Linked DNA regions of Macaca mulatta. The protein of the gene in region 1 interacts with the protein of each later gene in a pairwise test. Links are inferred from orthologs where the notes say so. Each region holds a gene or a part of one and is shown in the gene's direction. Other genes may lie near its edges.

Evidence for each region.
Region 2: the proteins of GRAP2 (region 1) and GAREM1 interact in binary tests that used the Homo sapiens proteins (3 or more experiments, as listed by UniProt). The link is inferred for Macaca mulatta from reciprocal best matches to the Homo sapiens genes GRAP2 and GAREM1.
Region 3: the proteins of GRAP2 (region 1) and RBPMS interact in a two-hybrid assay, tested with the Homo sapiens proteins (2 studies listed by BioGRID and IntAct). The two-hybrid records come from large-scale screens. The link is inferred for Macaca mulatta from reciprocal best matches to the Homo sapiens genes GRAP2 and RBPMS.

What each region holds. Positions count from the first base shown.
Region 1 is NC_133415.1:11,633,365-11,638,907, reverse strand, and holds the start of GRAP2 (GRB2-related adapter protein 2), read left to right. Parts: upstream 1-2,234; 5' UTR 2,235-2,481; intron 2,482-5,543. UniProt on the Homo sapiens protein: Interacts with SLP-76 to regulate NF-AT activation. Binds to tyrosine-phosphorylated shc.
Region 2 is NC_133423.1:60,048,725-60,054,075, forward strand, and holds the start of GAREM1 (GRB2-associated and regulator of MAPK protein 1), read left to right. Parts: upstream 1-1,559; 5' UTR 1,560-1,993; coding exon 1,994-2,114; intron 2,115-5,351.
Region 3 is NC_133413.1:32,158,669-32,164,306, forward strand, and holds the start of RBPMS (RNA-binding protein with multiple splicing), read left to right. Parts: upstream 1-1,846; 5' UTR 1,847-2,407; coding exon 2,408-2,473; intron 2,474-5,638.

The sequences.
Region 1 (5,543 bases):
GTTCAGATATAGACAAATGATCCCTCTAAAGGAATTGATTAAAAAAAAAAAATTAAACAAAGTATGGTTTGAAAAAGAAACTTCTCCACTGTGGCTAAGTCCAGATTTCACATGTTACTGTAGCCTCCTCATCTTGCTGCTGTTTTTCTGAGTGTATCATGATAGTGAGTACTGAAATGCTGGCATTCTCATATTAGGGTCTTTATTCTTAGGATCTGCCTTTGCTCTCGTTCAGTTAAAGAGCGATTATGAAATAAACCACTCAAGTGGCCTTGCTTCTCTCCCACTATGTGCTACATAACATGTCTGTCAATCAGTACTTACTACCAAAATAACTTGCCTTTGAGATTTTTCTGTTCTGCAATCTGTCCCATGATTGTAAGGGGAAGGATTATATTCTGCTCCCTGGGGAGTAGTGCCCGGTGCGAAATTAGCTTCTTCATTGGGGTACAAGCTGAAAACACCATAATAGTTTCCGTGAAATACCATTCAGCATTTTCCCTTCGCTCCCACTCCCCAACCATAGAATTTTAGGGACTCCTTTAACCATTTCAAAACCATTGACTTGGGAGCTATCGAAGACTAAGGACTGTAGCCAGAGGATTTCAGCATTTAAAAACTTGGCAATAGAGCTGTTCAATGTAATGATCCAAGAAGGTCCTTAGGAGGCTGAAGAATTCTGAGGCCAAGGTTGAGATGTTATTATTTTTAAAGTAGCAAGATGTTGTTATTTTTTATATTTTATCTTTATAATGTGGAAATAGCAGAAATCCTTTTCAGATGTAACCAGGATTTAAGAAAATTTGACAAACTTGCATCAATAAGAAGAAAGCCTGTTATTAAAGAGTTACACGGCCGGGTGCGGTGGCTCACGCCTGTAATCCCAGCACTTTGGGAGGTCGAGGCAGGCGGATCATCTGAAGTCACGAGTTCAAGACCAGCCTGGCTGACATGGTGAAACCCTGTCTCTACTAAAAATAATTAGCCAGGCATGGTGGCAGGTACCTGTAATCCCAGCTACTCGGGTGGCTGAGGCAGGAGAATCACTTGTACCCGGGAGGCAGAGGTTGCAGTGAGCCAAGATCGTGCCATTGCATTCCAGCCTGGGCACGAAGAGTGAAACTCCATCTCAAAAGAAAAAAAAAAAAGGAGTTATGGGCAGAAAATTACCTCCTTTAACTCATTCGACAAATGTTTACTGAGCATTTTCTATCACCATGACACTCTGCTGATTCTTTTCTATTTCAATAAAAATATTGAGCAATTATAACCAAGGAAAAGGTTTTAAGAAAGTAAATTTTAAGCAAGGTTTAGATATAAAGAAGTCAAGAGATGGAAAAGGATGCCATTTCACATTGCAGAAAAAGTTTAAATTTTAGAACCCAAACTGAGTCTCTCCTTGACACTGCCCTCTTGGTATTCCAGGGATTAATGCTAGGAACATTCTGGTGAGCCAACATTTCCCTCCTCATCTTGGATCCAGTTCCCAAACTCTGAATGGCACCACTTAGCAAGTAGCAATGTCTCTAATTTTCTGTAAAAGATGCAACGTTGGCAATCCATTTTCTAGCAAGAGCAAAGAGAAAGGAAGAGGCCTTCACAAGTTGCATTTGATATAGGGGGAAGGGTGAGTGGTACATTTAAAGGTAAGAACTAAGGAAGTTGAAGGTAACAAAATATAAGGTCAATGGAAAGTCTTAAATCCCGAAAAGCCTTCAGTCCAAGACTCAACACAAATTGAAGTCCCAGAAATCGAAGGAACTGGTTCCAACTCATGCTGAACTGTGGCAAACCTGGGGTGAGAAGTCATCCCAGCTCAGAATGTTTCTTCTTTTTTTGTCAAGAGTAATATTACAGACTGAGCGCATGAACAAAGCATCTTCCCTGGGATTTTAACATTGTGAGTGATCAAGGGTGCTCTTAAATAAGTTCCCCCAAGAAGCCCTAATGTTCCTTGGGCTGCATGACTGTACTAAGAGAATAAGAGTTTTCCTTAAGATCGACTTGCTGATGGACCATATCTAGGACTAGAAATTTTCTTATGTGAACATAAGTGTTCAGGAGGGATATTGTTAAAACTGAAACCTAGCATAAAGAAGCAAAAGTATTTCAGTGAACCTCCTGCATTTTAGTTCAACACTGGCAGCAAGAAAACAAAACCACATAATCTAAGGCTCACGCCCAACTCTCTGAAGCCCCGTATGTGCTAGTTCCTGTGTGGTTTGCCTGCAGGCTGCAGGGCTGACTAGGGTTAGTTTGGAGGAGGGAGTAAGAGGTGGGGAGGAGGAGGCACAGTTAATGGATCTGTAAACTTGCACCCTCTTTCAGAGTGGTACATGGAAGACAGCACAAAGTGGATCCGTACTCTGAAATGCAGTAATTCTGATGCTTGAATTTGTCTTCCTTCTTGCCAGAAAGGATTCTAATAACTCGGCATCAAAGCCAAGACATAAATTCAACAAACCACTTCTCTTCCAAAAGGTATGTCATTATACAATATCTGTACATATATTTTGTATGAGTTAATTAAAATGAATCTCATTAGTTCTCTGAATACTGCTTTTAAGTCCCATCAGCTAATGTCTCTAAACCTTTTGCCGTGACAATGTTTGTGGTGATGGGATTTGACTTCTATCAAGTGAACTGGGAGAACGCTTGTTCCTTACCCAGTCCATAACACAAAAATCTCCACAAACTGGCTTCAGAAGCATCTCGGGGAAAGATTTTCGACCTTGGGATCACAGAGGTAAAAATTCTACTTCACCATGGTCAGGATTTAATCCAAATTGGAAGGGGTTGGAGGGGGTGGTAGAGGGCTGAGCAGTGATGAATGAACACCAGCACTCTGAGATCAGGATTTCTCCCTTTGCTTGAATTTCTAGTTCTGTTTGCATTTTTCTTACCTATACAAAGAACACCAGTTTTCATTCCTTTACAAAAAAGAAGACTTTGTGTTGAAGTGTATTTTGGAAGGGTATTGTCTCTCTTTGTACTAGCCGTTAGGCTCCATCCCTGTGACTGTCTCTGGTTTAGGCATCCAGTCTGAAGTTAGCTGCTTTGTGTTCTTTGTCCTAACTCTTCCTGAACATGAGGATTGAACATACCAACCAACGGTTTCACTAATTTAAAATGTATCGTATTGCGCTGACAGGTATACTGTCAAAAAAAATTACCGTATTTACCTACCTGGAATTAGGCCTTCTTAATAAGGTATATGCAACATAATTTGCACACTATTGAACATATACATCCCTAGATAAACTAGGAGAGGGAAATGTTTTAGATCTAAACATCCAATAGGAAAAATTTCGTGTGCTCTCGTTACGTTATCCGAGGATGGGAAACTTCAGGTCGAAGAATCTTTTGTTCTGTGCAGCAACGTTTGTCATTAACGGTTTAGTTCTTTAGTGGGTCCTTTTTGTTTCTTATTTTTGGTTTCAGAAAGAGCATTTAGCAGAAGTTACTCTCCTTTAACAATCCAGTATTGTATATAAAACTTTATAAAATAATTTTATAGTGACCCTCTTTACAAAACCATCTGCTATTAAATAAGGAACACTGTGTAAATAGAGGACCACCTAAGTATATTTACTTTTCAAATTTGAAAAATATCTGACTCATACCCTTTTTTGTTTTTTTGTAAAAGAGAGGTGGCCCTATATTATTGAATAAAACTGCTTTTTTAGATTAAACTTGGAGTGTCTCCCATGTGGTAAACTGAAATCTTATTCTCCCCAAATTGTAATAGATTTTATCTTTTTAAAAAATGACTTTACTGAAGCAGAGGAGAAAGAGATGATCAATCTATTCAATATGAAGAAATATTTCTGTTGCTAATACAATATCCTTTTGAATATCTCCGACGTCTTAGGCCTGGTGAAAATCCCTTTCAATTGTTCTGTCTACCTCGTAGGGATATTGTAAGAATAAATGAGTTAACATAGATATGAAATACCTTAGGAAAAATGCACTATAAAAATGCAAGACAATGTCATCATTAGTTATTTCTTTGACTCTTGATCATTTTCTTCCAACTTCTTATACAAAATGTCTCTTACTTATTTCCTGAAGCCATCTCTTTTAGAACTATTGCTTTCTAGAAGAGCTGAAAATGATCCTAGTTCCAACATATTTATTGATTCCCAGATAATAACACCCACTGGTGTTGATGACTGACAGGGTTCATGCCTAAACTTGAGTAGAACTTGCCCTTTTTTCCTGGATCAAGAAAAGTCTGCAGTCGTTCGAAAAATGTGTCAGTAAGTGTGATTCCATCAGGATTTCTTAAATAAGTAACAGTTGCTGCTGGATAATCCTGGGGGCAGATTATTCATTTTTGTGCCCCTATAAAACAAACTCAAAACTTGTTCAAGAATCTTTATAAGTTGTTTGAATCAAACAATAGGGTCGATAGGTCCCCATTTTGTCCTTTTGAGGTATTTGCCCAGCGTACCTTGGTCTGTAAAGAAATAGCACAGCCTTGGCTGGGTGCGGTGGCTCATGCTTATAATCCTAGCACTTTGGGAGGCCGAGGTGGGCGGATCTCCAAAAATAAATAATAATAATGATGATAACACAGTCTCATGAGTCTTTTTTTTTTTTTTTTTTTTTTTTGAGACAGGGTCTCACTCTGTCACTCAGGCTAGAGTGCAGTGGTGCAATCATAGCTCACTGCAGACTCAACTACCTTGGGCTTAGTGATCCTCCCACCTCAGCCTCTCAAGTAGCTGGGACTACAGGTGCACACCACCACACCTGGCTAATATTGTATTTTTAGTAGAGACAGAGTTTTGCCATGTTGCGCCGGCTGGTCTTGAACTCCTGAACTCAAGCAATTTGCCTGCCTCAGCCTCCCAAAGTGTTGGGATTACAGGTGTGAACCACCGCACCTGGCCTGCCCTTTCTTTTCCACTTAAAAATTCTTAAGAAAGCATGGCCCTGTTTAACAGATAAGCATTTTACAAACATTTATCGATCAATTACTATATGCCAGGCCTGGCGCTAGGCACCAAGTCCTCTTCAACAGTGTTAACGTTAAGTTTCAATAAACTTGAGTCAGTAGGAATTCAGTAAATAATTTTTAAAGATTTTCTTTTTAAATATGCATTTATAAACAACACTTTTAGAGAATTAAACTATCACAAAGTACATGATGATAAAAGTCTTACATGCTCTCCAAAGAAAATGTTAAGACGTTCCTTAAGAAGACAGTGAAGAACGGCTGGGCACAGTGGCTCACACCTGTAATCCCAGCCCTTGGGAGGCCAAGGCAGGCAGATCGTCTGAGGTCAGGAATTGGAGACAAGCCTGGCCAATACACTGAAACCCTGTCTCTACCAAAATACAAAAATTAGCCGGGCATGATGGCAGGTGCCTATAATCCCAGCTACTTGAGAGACTGAGGCACGAGAATTGCTTGCACCTGGGAGGCAGACGTTTCCGTGAACTGAGATCGTGCCACTGCACTCCAGCCTGGTCAACAAAGTAAGACCCTGTCTCAAAAATAAAAATAAAAAAGAAAAGATAGTGAGAAAATAGCTGAA
Region 2 (5,351 bases), on another chromosome or scaffold:
TGGGATTACAGGTGTGAGCCACCGCGCCCGGCCGAAACACTCTATGTGAGCCATTCTTAGAACTTTATGGACTTCTGATTCTCCATACACTCTATAGTAAACTACTCCCCACTTTTTTCCACAATTTTTTCAAAAAATCAATGTGAATGACTCAAAGGGCAAAACTTTCAGATGAATTTTGTGAAAATTATAGCTAATGCTTCAAAGGGAGAGGATCAGGAAGGTGGGTGTAGAAGAATCTGTTTTTCTTCAAATGTTAATGGAGTGGTTTATTAGCACAGACCTTTTAAACCAAGCCAGGAAAAGGCAGCGGGATGTTTTCAAGTCCCCTTGGGCTGGCGAAGTGGGTACTTGCTGTACCTTATCAAGCACTAAACACTGAATACGTGTTGAAAACAGAGCTGATACGCATCCTTAGCAACCACTCACCTCTGCTATTTTAACAAAATGTCAAGCAAGCAAGAGAAAGAAAGAAAGAAAGAAAAAGAAAGGAAGAAAGAAAGAAAGAAAGAAAGAAAAGAAAGAATTAGCATACAAGGCAGGACATGCCACCTTTATATTCTGAGCTCTGTCCACAGTGAGCAGGCCATGCCAAACATTGGGAGAGACAGAATGGTTGATCATGCAAAGCAAACTGTAGGTTTGAATCCCAGCACGGCCATCTACGAGTTATGAAATCTTGCTAAACTACCTAATGTCTCGGTACATATACCTAGAAAACGAGAATGATCCCAACCTTTAAGATGAGAAGGGAACTGAGTGGGAAAAGTGGATGAGAACAGCTGACCCAGCAGCCTCCCAGTAACCTAGTTTTCCCTTCCCATCTCTGTGTCTACGGTGTTTGGTGGCCTCACCATCTCCCGCCGCCTCCAGCAGTTCCTTCACTCAGTGAAGGTCCTAGACCGAATGGCCACCTTCCTGTATGTGGGTACTGATCACCCACCACCTTTCTGCTTTTCAGTGCTATGCCCTTTTTATCTTGTCTAGCAGCCAAAGCTGAGACTGGTGGGAGTCATTTCCAGCTCCGATGGTGGAGGAGTAGGGTTGACGGGAAATGCCAAGGCGTGCTCCACGCCTGCTGTCCCCAGCCGCGTTGGGCTGTGGCACTCTCCTGACCAATGTCTGGGTCACCAGGAAGCAAGACGGAGCGCCACTAAAGGTCTCTTGTGCCCTGTATTTCGCCACCGCATTGCCAGGATAGGAGTGGAGGCGGACGGTGTCCGACACCAAGACTCAGGGAGCGATCCCTGAGCTCTCTCGGCAATTCCCGGGCTCCGGGAACGGGCCTGGGCGGGGAAGGAGTCGGGACGCGCAGCGGCACCCGGCGAGACTGCAGGGCGCCCGAGCGGTCGGACGGGGGAGCGAGAGCTAAAGCTTGCGGAGCGCGCCGAGCCGCGGGCGCTGGCGGCCACGGCCAGGGAGCTGACGCCGAGCGGAGCCCGCCCGGCCGCGGGAGCTGCGGGAGGCGGAGGCCGAGTGGGGGGCGGAGCAGGCGGCGCCGGGGAGGCGGAGGCGGTGTCTCCCAGAGCTGCGCAGGCGTTGCTCGCACCTTGTTGATTAGTCAGTGCTGGGAGCGCTGCTATGGCGTTTCTCAGACCCGCGGCTCCTCCTCACACGCTCGAGGCGGAGGGAAGGAGGGGTAAGAGGAGGAGGAGGCGAGCGGGCGGCCGCCGCAGCTGCAGACCCAGGGCCAGAGGAGGAGGCGGAGCGGGAGCCGCCGCAGCCACCCGGGCCGCTGCCGCCGCCGCCGCCGCCCGCAGCCGCGGGGCTGCTCTAAGTCTTCTCCGGGCGTGAGGGCACGCGGGGCGCCCCAGCCATGCCCCGCAGCGGCAGCTGAGCCGGGCGCCGGTCCCCTCCCTCTGGGCCGCCCCAGTCGCCGCGCCCCCCGGCTGCCCGCGGCCGGAGCTGCCCGGCGCCTCCCGCGCGCCCCAGACCGCGAACGCCAGCAGCGGCGGCCGCTGAGGCGCGGGTGGTGCCGGCGGCGGCGGGGGAGATGGACCCGGCGCCCTCGCTGGGCTGCAGCCTCAAGGATGTGAAGTGGAGCTCGGTGGCCGTGCCGCTCGACCTCCTGGTCAGCACTTACCGGCTGCCCCAGATCGCGCGGTTGGACAACGGTGAGTCCCAGCTGGGGCGCGGGGCAGACGGGCGAGGACAGCCGTCTCCACGCGGGTGTGCGCGCGTGTGCTGGAGAGGGTGGGACCCGAGGGGAGTGGGCTGCCCGCCCCCGAGCGCCGGAGTTGGCCGGAGCGGCTGCCGCAGCCCTGGCGCGTTGCTCTCAACTCCCTCCAGCAGCAGACAGGGAGGTGGAAATCAGAGTCCTTGCAGTGTAATTAAAAAGGACGCCCTAAAAAAAAAAGTCAACATAGGGAGACCTCTGCAGATCGTAATTTTGGACGCCAGCGATCCCTCCCCACCCGCCTGCAAGAATTACTCAACTAGGGAAACCCTGAAGAGTTATCTTAGGCAACTTTCTTGAGACTATCATTGTGCTCTGGGTGGCATCTTAATTTGGGTGCTCTCCTCCCTGTCTCCCCCATCCCCCGCCAAACTGATTTAAGAGGAAAAGCTCCTGGGTGACCATTGAAAAGGATCTTATTTCTCAGAGACCTTGTATTACCGCTTGTCTGTTTTGTTTAACCCAACCGAAAGTAATTTAGGTCTGTGTGTAGAAAATGTTTTTAGCAGAAGTGATGGTATGCTTAAGGTTAATCATTAGGTTAGCTCATTTCCAGCCTGGAAAAAAAAAATAAATCACCAAAACATATTGATTTGGAACCTGAGTTCAGAACTAACAAGGGTGTATTTCCTGAAACTGACCACCAGAAACCCACCCAGCTCCTTCCCCCAACTGTTTATTCTGCGGTGTGACAGCTGCAAACACACCGTTGCGCATACTGTCAAGCAAGTAGACACCTTTCAGTTTGAGAGTGATGACATGTAAGGTGGCAATTTAGGTGTGTTTGGGCTTCTCTTGTTTTCATCATAACTTCAGTGGGCTTTGGCTTCATGCGATTTTAGACTGTTTGCAGAAAGAAGCCTGCCCTGCTGTGGGGCAGCTGTGGAAGTACCCGGGCCCAGGCTGGCAGACAGGCAGGCAGAGCTGTGGCTGCACAGGCCAGGTCAGGAGAACACTAAGCAGAAAGATGTCATTTCGAGTCACAGGCACTAGGGTTACTCCTTGTTTCCTAGGGTAAAAGAGTGAGTAACATGAGATGTATACATATACAAAGGAGTTTTTATTCTGTTTCTTATCTGTGGGGTTTGATTAGACATTTGTATATCTGATGTGAAAAATAAATGCAGGCAACTTCGTGAAAGCTGGAAAACAGCCTTGGCTTGCTTGCTATCCTCGTTTGATTGTTGGTAGTAGTAGGGTGCATCGGAAATAAGCTGGAAGTTTTAAAACTAGTGATGAAGTGCAGATCACAGTAGCTGTTGAAGCGGAGGGGGGGATTGGGCGGGACACACGGGTGGTGTGCTGAGGCGTTTCTGCTTAGAGTGGGGGTGGGAAAATGTTGTGTGCTTTAAATAGCATCTGCAGACCTGAATTGGTGTGTGTGTGTGTGTGTATTCGCAACGTTTCATTTCCTCCTCCAAAATTGTGTATATTGGAAGGTTGTGAGTCTTACCTTTTCCTACCTTCTCTCATCTCTGCACACTGCCAAATTTGGTAGCTAGGCAGAGAGCATTGCTGCATGTGGTATAAAAGTCACTCAAAAGCTTCATTAAACTGAAAGTTTAAAGGGGCGGAATATCACTTTCAGACATGACTTTTAGTTTTATTTCCCACTTTTCTATCCCTGCCATTCATAAAAAGGATCTGAATCAGCAGTGTACTCATCCCACACTTCTTTCTAAAATGAGGACGTGGGTAGTGAGTCTTAACACTGTGTCCTTTCAAGCTGTGGAATGGATTTTGATCACTACATGTAATTCCAATTCTTCATTGTAAATTTCTCTTATTTCCTTATTGCCGCTTGAGAATCATAGTGGCACATACACATTTGGAATCATTGCCAGATACTGCTTTATAACTTGCTTCTTTCACTTAACAGTCCCATCTCATTTAAACATTTTTGTTAACATGATTTTTAATAACTGCCAAAGAGTTCATGGGCTAAGCTATACCATGTAATTTCTGCCCCTATTGTGGACATTATTAAGCTATATCATTTTGTGCTATTAAAAATTGTGGTATAATGAATACTCTTGTACATACATCTGGGAGTTTTTTGGTTAGAATATATTTCTACTTTGCTGAACAAGCATGTCAGTACTATTAAAATCCTTGATACACATTGTCAAATTGCTTTAGCGACTAAAGGAAATCCTCATTTACACCAACGTGAGCATTGTGGTAGTATCAGTCTGCCCACATCTTGAAAATACTAAGTATTTACAAAAAAATTCTCTACTAATTTGATTGGCGAAAGTGTTGTTTCAGCAGTTGAATTTGGGTAGACTTTAAAAGAGTCAATTGTAGATTCTGTGCATGTTTTTAAACATGTTTCACACAGTTTAGGACAGGTTGAGGACATGCTGGCATATTTATAAATGTTATAGGTGAAATCTTAAGTTTTGTGCTATCCTCATCCTGTGTTTGCCTTTTCCCCAGTTTTAGTACTGCAGGTACATTTTACATCGCACACGCCCACCCTATACTTAGACATGAAAGGTAGTCATTTTCCAAATCACTTGTTTTTAAAGAGACTAGAACAAAATTGAAAAACATGCCAGTAGTTGACATTATGCCAAGAGGAAATGATTGGCTAATTTTAAATACTTTTTAAAGAACATTAAAAAAATCTAATTTCACAACTATTGACTATCAAAAGCCTACTATGGGCTGGTACATTTCTGGATGCATAATATGTATTGTCTCAAATCCTCAGCAACACAATTTTTAAGAACTTCAGAAACCTAAGATTCAGAGAAATTGACTTGCCTGAACACTCGTACCTAGTAAATGGTGGAGTGGAATTTCCAGCCGACCTTCTGACTCTGAAGACTGACCTCTTATCTCAAACTGGGCTACCTCCTTATGCTAAAGGAGAGAAGGGTTGAGGTTGTTCTGACATCTGCTCTAAATAGGTTCACTGTGTCTCTGAGAGCTTGAGGACTGGAAAGTCAGTGTTTTAAAAACAATGTAGATACCAAATTAAGTGCTGGCCTCATCCATCATATATACGACTTTCTGCTTCCCAAAGGAGTGGCTGAAAAGAGGCAAGAGGCAGTGGGGAAGAAGAGGTTACAGAACAGGAGAAAAAAAGGAAAACATTGGGGTTCGAGGGCCTAGTAATGTAGATGTGTCTGTTGAGATGACTCTTCAGGACATTCGCCATCCCTAGAAT
Region 3 (5,638 bases), on another chromosome or scaffold:
CCTGTTTCAAAATCTCCAAACCCCCAAGATAAACCCAGTATGTAAATCCAGGTATCACTACTGTTTTTCTCATAATGCCCTTAAAGCAAATATTTTCCTCGCTTTCTATAATCGGAAAGAGGATTCTGAGAGTATCTTGGCTCCATACCACTTTATTTTTTTGTCTTTTCTTTTTTTCCCCTCTTTGTGGAGAACAGGGTCTCACTATGTTGCCCAGACAGGTCTTGAACTTCTGAGCTCAAGCAATCCTCTTTCCTCTATCTCCCTAAGTGCTGAGATTCCAAGCGTGAGCCACCGTATTACTTTAAACTCCCTAAAGGGAGGGTCCTTATCTGCAACGCCCACAGCCGCCCCCCCCCATCCCCAGCAGCACTTAAATCAGTATAAAGAATGTCTGCTGGGGGGTGGGGAGAAACAGTTAAGCAAATACTGTAGTTAGAAACTTACTGGTGCAGGACAGGAGCAGCAGGCTGGGACGGAGAATTCCTGGGAGTAAGAAGTGGGGCAGAACCCACTGATACATGGAGTTCCACATTTATACATTTGTAGCAGTCAAATCTAAGAGTTTAACACAGTGGTTCCAGACGGTAATTCCATCAGTTTGGGAGGCCAAAAGCCGGAGGATCACTTGAGGCCAAGAGTTCGAGATCAGCCTGGGCAACAAAGTGAGACCCTCATTTTTCTAAAAAAAAAAAAAACCAGAAGCTTTAACGATCGAGTATTGGAAAAGCTTTCTAAGGCCCGGGAAAAATGGAAGTTTCCTTAATAATGTTAGCTTCCATGTACTGTAAACCTAAACGAAGCAAGAATGAATACTGGGTGCTGTACATAGTTCTATCAACCTACAATCTCGAAAACGCTAGGAGACACATTCAGCTGCTCCCATTTAACGGATGAGGAAACAAGTACGCAATCCTGAAGTTGGTGCAAAGCCCAGGCCCCCTTTCTTCTTCAAGCGTGCTTCCAGCCTCTGAAATTCCTCCGTGTGGACCCCGAGCTCTGCCTGCAATGAGGAATATTCACTTTGCCAACAAATATTTATTGAGTGCCTACTATACACCCGGTAGCTCGTTTAAATAGCCGTGGGATTAAAAAGATAAATAGGGTAAGTTTGTGGTTTTTTCTTCCAGGAAGGAGCTTTCTGAAGGGTGAGGGAGAGGCCAAGTAAACAATCCCAGAACAGTCGGGTGAGAGTTGGGAGAGGAGTCGGGGGCCGCGGGACGCCCAGGCAGCGAAGCGGGGAAGGCTCCGGGCGCGTCGCAGGACCCGCGCTGGAGATGGGTTTGAAGCCCTGTCCTGAAAAAGCCGGCCCGGAGGGGGCTGTCCCCAGTATCCCTCGAGTTCTCATCCTGTCATTCAAGCAGCAGGGGAAGAACCGGGTCTGGCTCGGGAAGGGTGGGCTTAGGGCCAGGGGTGCAAATCCCTTGGTAAAAGCCGGCAAACAAAAGTCGCACACATCCCAGCTCCCGGTCCTGGCCCCGGCGGGGCAGGGTCCCCGAAGTCCCGGGGCGCGCAGACGCCGGGGCCCCCGGGGGCCGAGGGAACTGCAGTACCCGACCTCCCCTGCCCTCGGCCTCCAGGGCCCTCGCCCTCCGACCAGCCGCCGAGTCTGGGGCTGGGGTCGCCGCTTCCGCCCGCCGCCCGCGGCCCCTCCCCGGCGCGCGCCATCCGGCCGCCGGCCCCTCCTCCCGCGGGGGGCTCCGTCCCGCGCCCCGTCCCTCCGGGCTGCAGCCGGCAGCCCACGTCCAGGGAGGGCGGAGGGAGGAGGAGAGGCGCGGAGAGGAGGGAGGGGAGAGGGGAGGGAGGAAGACGAGAGAAAGGGAGCTGCTTCCATCCCGGACTTCCCAGAGCCTGCCTGGAGCGCGCACTCAGCGGCTCTCGGGTCCCAGCGTCCCAGCCGCCGCCCGCGCCTCTCCGCCCCGCTCCTCCTCCTCTTCCTCCTCCTCCTCTTCCTCCTCCTCCTCTTCCTCCTCCTCCTCTCTAGGCACCCCCGTCCCCTCCTTCCAGCGGCTGCAGCCCCCAGCCCCAACTCTCTGCGCTTACTCCTGGGACGCGCGTTCTCGCCCCATCCTTTGCTTCCTTCCTTCCTTCTTCCTTCCTCCCCTGGCTCCCGCCCTCCCTATCCAGGTCGCCCTCCCGGGGCCCGATTGTCTCGGTGCCCAGCTCTCGGCCCGCGCCCTGCCCCGTCTCTCCCTCGTACTTCCTGAGTCGCCCGCCGCTGCCGTCGCAGTCTCGCCGCGGGAGCCCCAGCCCGACAGCCACTGCCCCGGCTCCAGCTCCAGCCCCGCAGCCCGCGGCGCCCGCCCGAGGGAGCCCCGGCGCCCGGGGAAGGCTACAGTGGGCGAGCGCGCCCTCGCCCAGCCCCGCGCCCCAGCCCTGCCCGGCCCGGCGAGGAAGGACCGGGAAGATGAACAACGGCGGCAAAGCCGAGAAGGAGAACACCCCGAGCGAGGCCAACCTTCAGGAGGAGGAGGTACTGGGCGGCTCGGTGCAGTGGCGGGGGCGATCCGGGACCCAGTGCGGGCGGCCGGCGGGGCGCGGGCGCGGGCCCGGGGCGCGGCGGTGGAAGGTTTAGGCATGGCCCGTGCCCGGGACGCAGCCCCGCAGTGTGGCCCGGGGAGGGTGGATCTCGGGAAAGTGTGTTTTTGTGTCCACGCGCGTCTGCGGGCCCCAAATTGCGTAACTCTAAGGACTTTTCGGAGACTTTTGTAAGTATAATGCTCAGCTTTGTTTGCCCGGGATTTAAAAAGTGGAACCGAGAGCTGACTCCTGGGTGACCTCAGATGATCGGGACTCGGAGGGTCAGGACTTAGGGCTGGGGCTGGAAATTGTGTGTGGATTCGGGGTAGCGGGGGGGGGCAGTTTAAGGAAGAAACTTGGGGAAAAGTTTTCATTAAAAGATACCTCTGTTCCCTGCCCCCTCCCTTTCCGTGTTAAAAGTTCTTGGTGAAATATCTTTCTAGCCGAGGGTTTTTGGATTAATAGATAACTCATCAGCCACATTCTTCTCTGCTGAGTCAAAGACCCCGAACCTGGGCGGTGAACGCTTGCGAATTTAGGGCCGTGCAGATGAGGGGAGCAGAATAAGAGGGTTAAAAACGCAGCAATTCACCAAATGCTCATCGAGGATACTTTTATAGGACTTTGACTTCTGAGCACGCATTTTGGGTGGTGCGTCTTCACGATGAAAGTTTTGTGACTGCGGAGCGTTCCTTCGGTGGAAACAAAATTGAGTAGATGTAGTCAGAAGGGGAGTCGGACTCAGGAACAAACGTTTCAGAATTCAGTAGTAGGGTATTTGTGGTATCCTACCAAATGACTGTTTCTGCAGGTACATTATCTGGAGTCCAAGAAATTACTTCTGGCGTACTTTTTAATATCACACACAGTTGAGTTCTTAACATTCTAGAGGAACTTGAGAGTGTGTGCAGATGCAGGAAAGTGCATGGCTCAATATGACCCGAAAAGATTCACACAGGTATTGCATCCTGATCTAGGTGAACACAGAAGGTAAACGGATTCTAAAGCGTTAGGACGTTGAGATCATTGTTGAGACACTGTTGTGTGCAAACTTCAATTCTGATAGTGAAACCAAAATTGCAGAGGAATTCATTAATGCATACAAGTTCTCTGCACATTGTCCACTTGGGAAATGGGAACTATTTAGGTGGAGAAGGTAGAGGAGCGAGACTATGCCAAACAGTGCAAAATCGGAGATTTTACTCTCTTACCCAGTTGTATGGTAGTGAAAACCTAGATGAGTTGCAGTCAGTCAAAAATTGCTTTCTCACCCGAGGACATTTTCTATTTTATTATAAAAGACTATTTGAAGAGTTGTTTACATGCATGTTTTCTAATTACAAGTGTAGGAATGCTACTGGCGTTTCTTTTTTCAAAGCAATGGAGAGTTGAATGGTATGTTCTGACTTTTTTTCTTGAACTTTACTGGCTGCTTTGCTATTTATTTTCCCTACCACTTAAAAAATTTTAAAAATAATGCTTTTTTAAATTTGCTTTTTTAGGAATTACTATAGTTAACTAATTCACTTACCATATCAAAATAATTATCGCTTCAGAAATCTTCCTATTTCAGCTAAATGTGCAATCTGTTTGCTTCTCAGGGTTAGAATATTATATCAAACCATCTTTATTTACCCAGTTGAGAAAACTTTTTTTTTTTCCTTTTGGTGGGTAGCAAAAGAGGTTCAATGTCCTAAAAATCATACCCACTTAAAATTAAGTATAGAAAAGGCACATTTTTCCGCTTGACCCATCTTAACAGCTGCCAGGACCGAGGGATTGCCTGCCCTGTTCCTGGACGCTCCTCTGTCCTTGCGAGGTTGTGTGTAATAATTGCTGTATAATCGCGGACCATTGCAGTATGGTTGCTGCCTCTTACTTGTCCTGTTACCTGACAGTGTTCTTTTTCAGGTAGGAATGGCATGTGGCTCTAGAAAGTATGGATATTTTTAGCAAAACACTTGTTATGTAAAAAATAAGGGGACTGGTAGGAAGATTTCAGAACCTAAGTTGTCCAAGAGATGTCGTGTACAAAACAGATAAGACTGTGAAGAGAGGGGGTTTATAATGTCAGAAATTCAGGAAAAGAAACTAAGGTGGCCTGAATGATCCGGGTAATTTTGCCTTAATTTCCTATTTTTGGTTTATATTTTGTTCTTGAAAAACTCTTACCCTCTTTTTTGGTTTTTTTCTTTCTAACCCTGAAAGCCACAATTAAAATAAATAGGGTATTTGGTAAGTGCCATTAATGAGCCCGGCATTACACAAAACCACTACATTGACCCTTTCTCTGCCCACCCATCGCATCAGCAACTTGCTCTTAAACACATTTAAAAACCTTGGCAGTGGACTCCGGTAAACAGAACACACACATACAACATATATATATATATATACACACACACACATAATGACAAGAGAGGAAAAATGTGTTTTGTTGTAATTTCTGGTGGCCATTGAACTGACATGGAAAAATGAGTCCAATCGTCATTAAGGGAAAATAGTTTATTTCACAGATCATGAGGGTGATTTCGGCTTTCTCCACATTGAATCCAGGTTTGTTTTTTTCTGTGTTTCTAGTTTTGAAATGAATTCCTTTTATCAACTAGTGTATTTTAGCGCTTTTGAGAGTTTCTAATGCTTACCCTGAAATAATTGGTTCTAATTGTATAGAATGAACAGTTCAGGATCTAAGAAAATTTTTGCAGCTTTTTAGGGTTGGACGTTTTTGAGAACTTGGGCAGAACGTGTATTAATACTTCTACTTTAGATAGCATTGAAAACTTTGAGGAAAAATAATTTTAGGATTTGGCTAGCCAGTTGTGTAAGAGAGATGATACATTTAGCTTTCTGGTTTTTAATGTATTATTACATTAAATACGTGTATAATACACGTAAAATGTATTATGCGTGTGTGTCCCCTAAGCAAGTTGTCCTGTAAAGACTAATCAGTTGTCAAAATCTCAGATTTACAAGGTTTGTTTATATATGTTTAGAGTATCATACCATTTCTTATATTTTACAATTCATAAAATGATTCCTAGAATTTCTCTAATTTTGCAATCAGACTTTATAAAAATTAATATATAAGTAATAGATCCATAATTGTCTTGGCTAA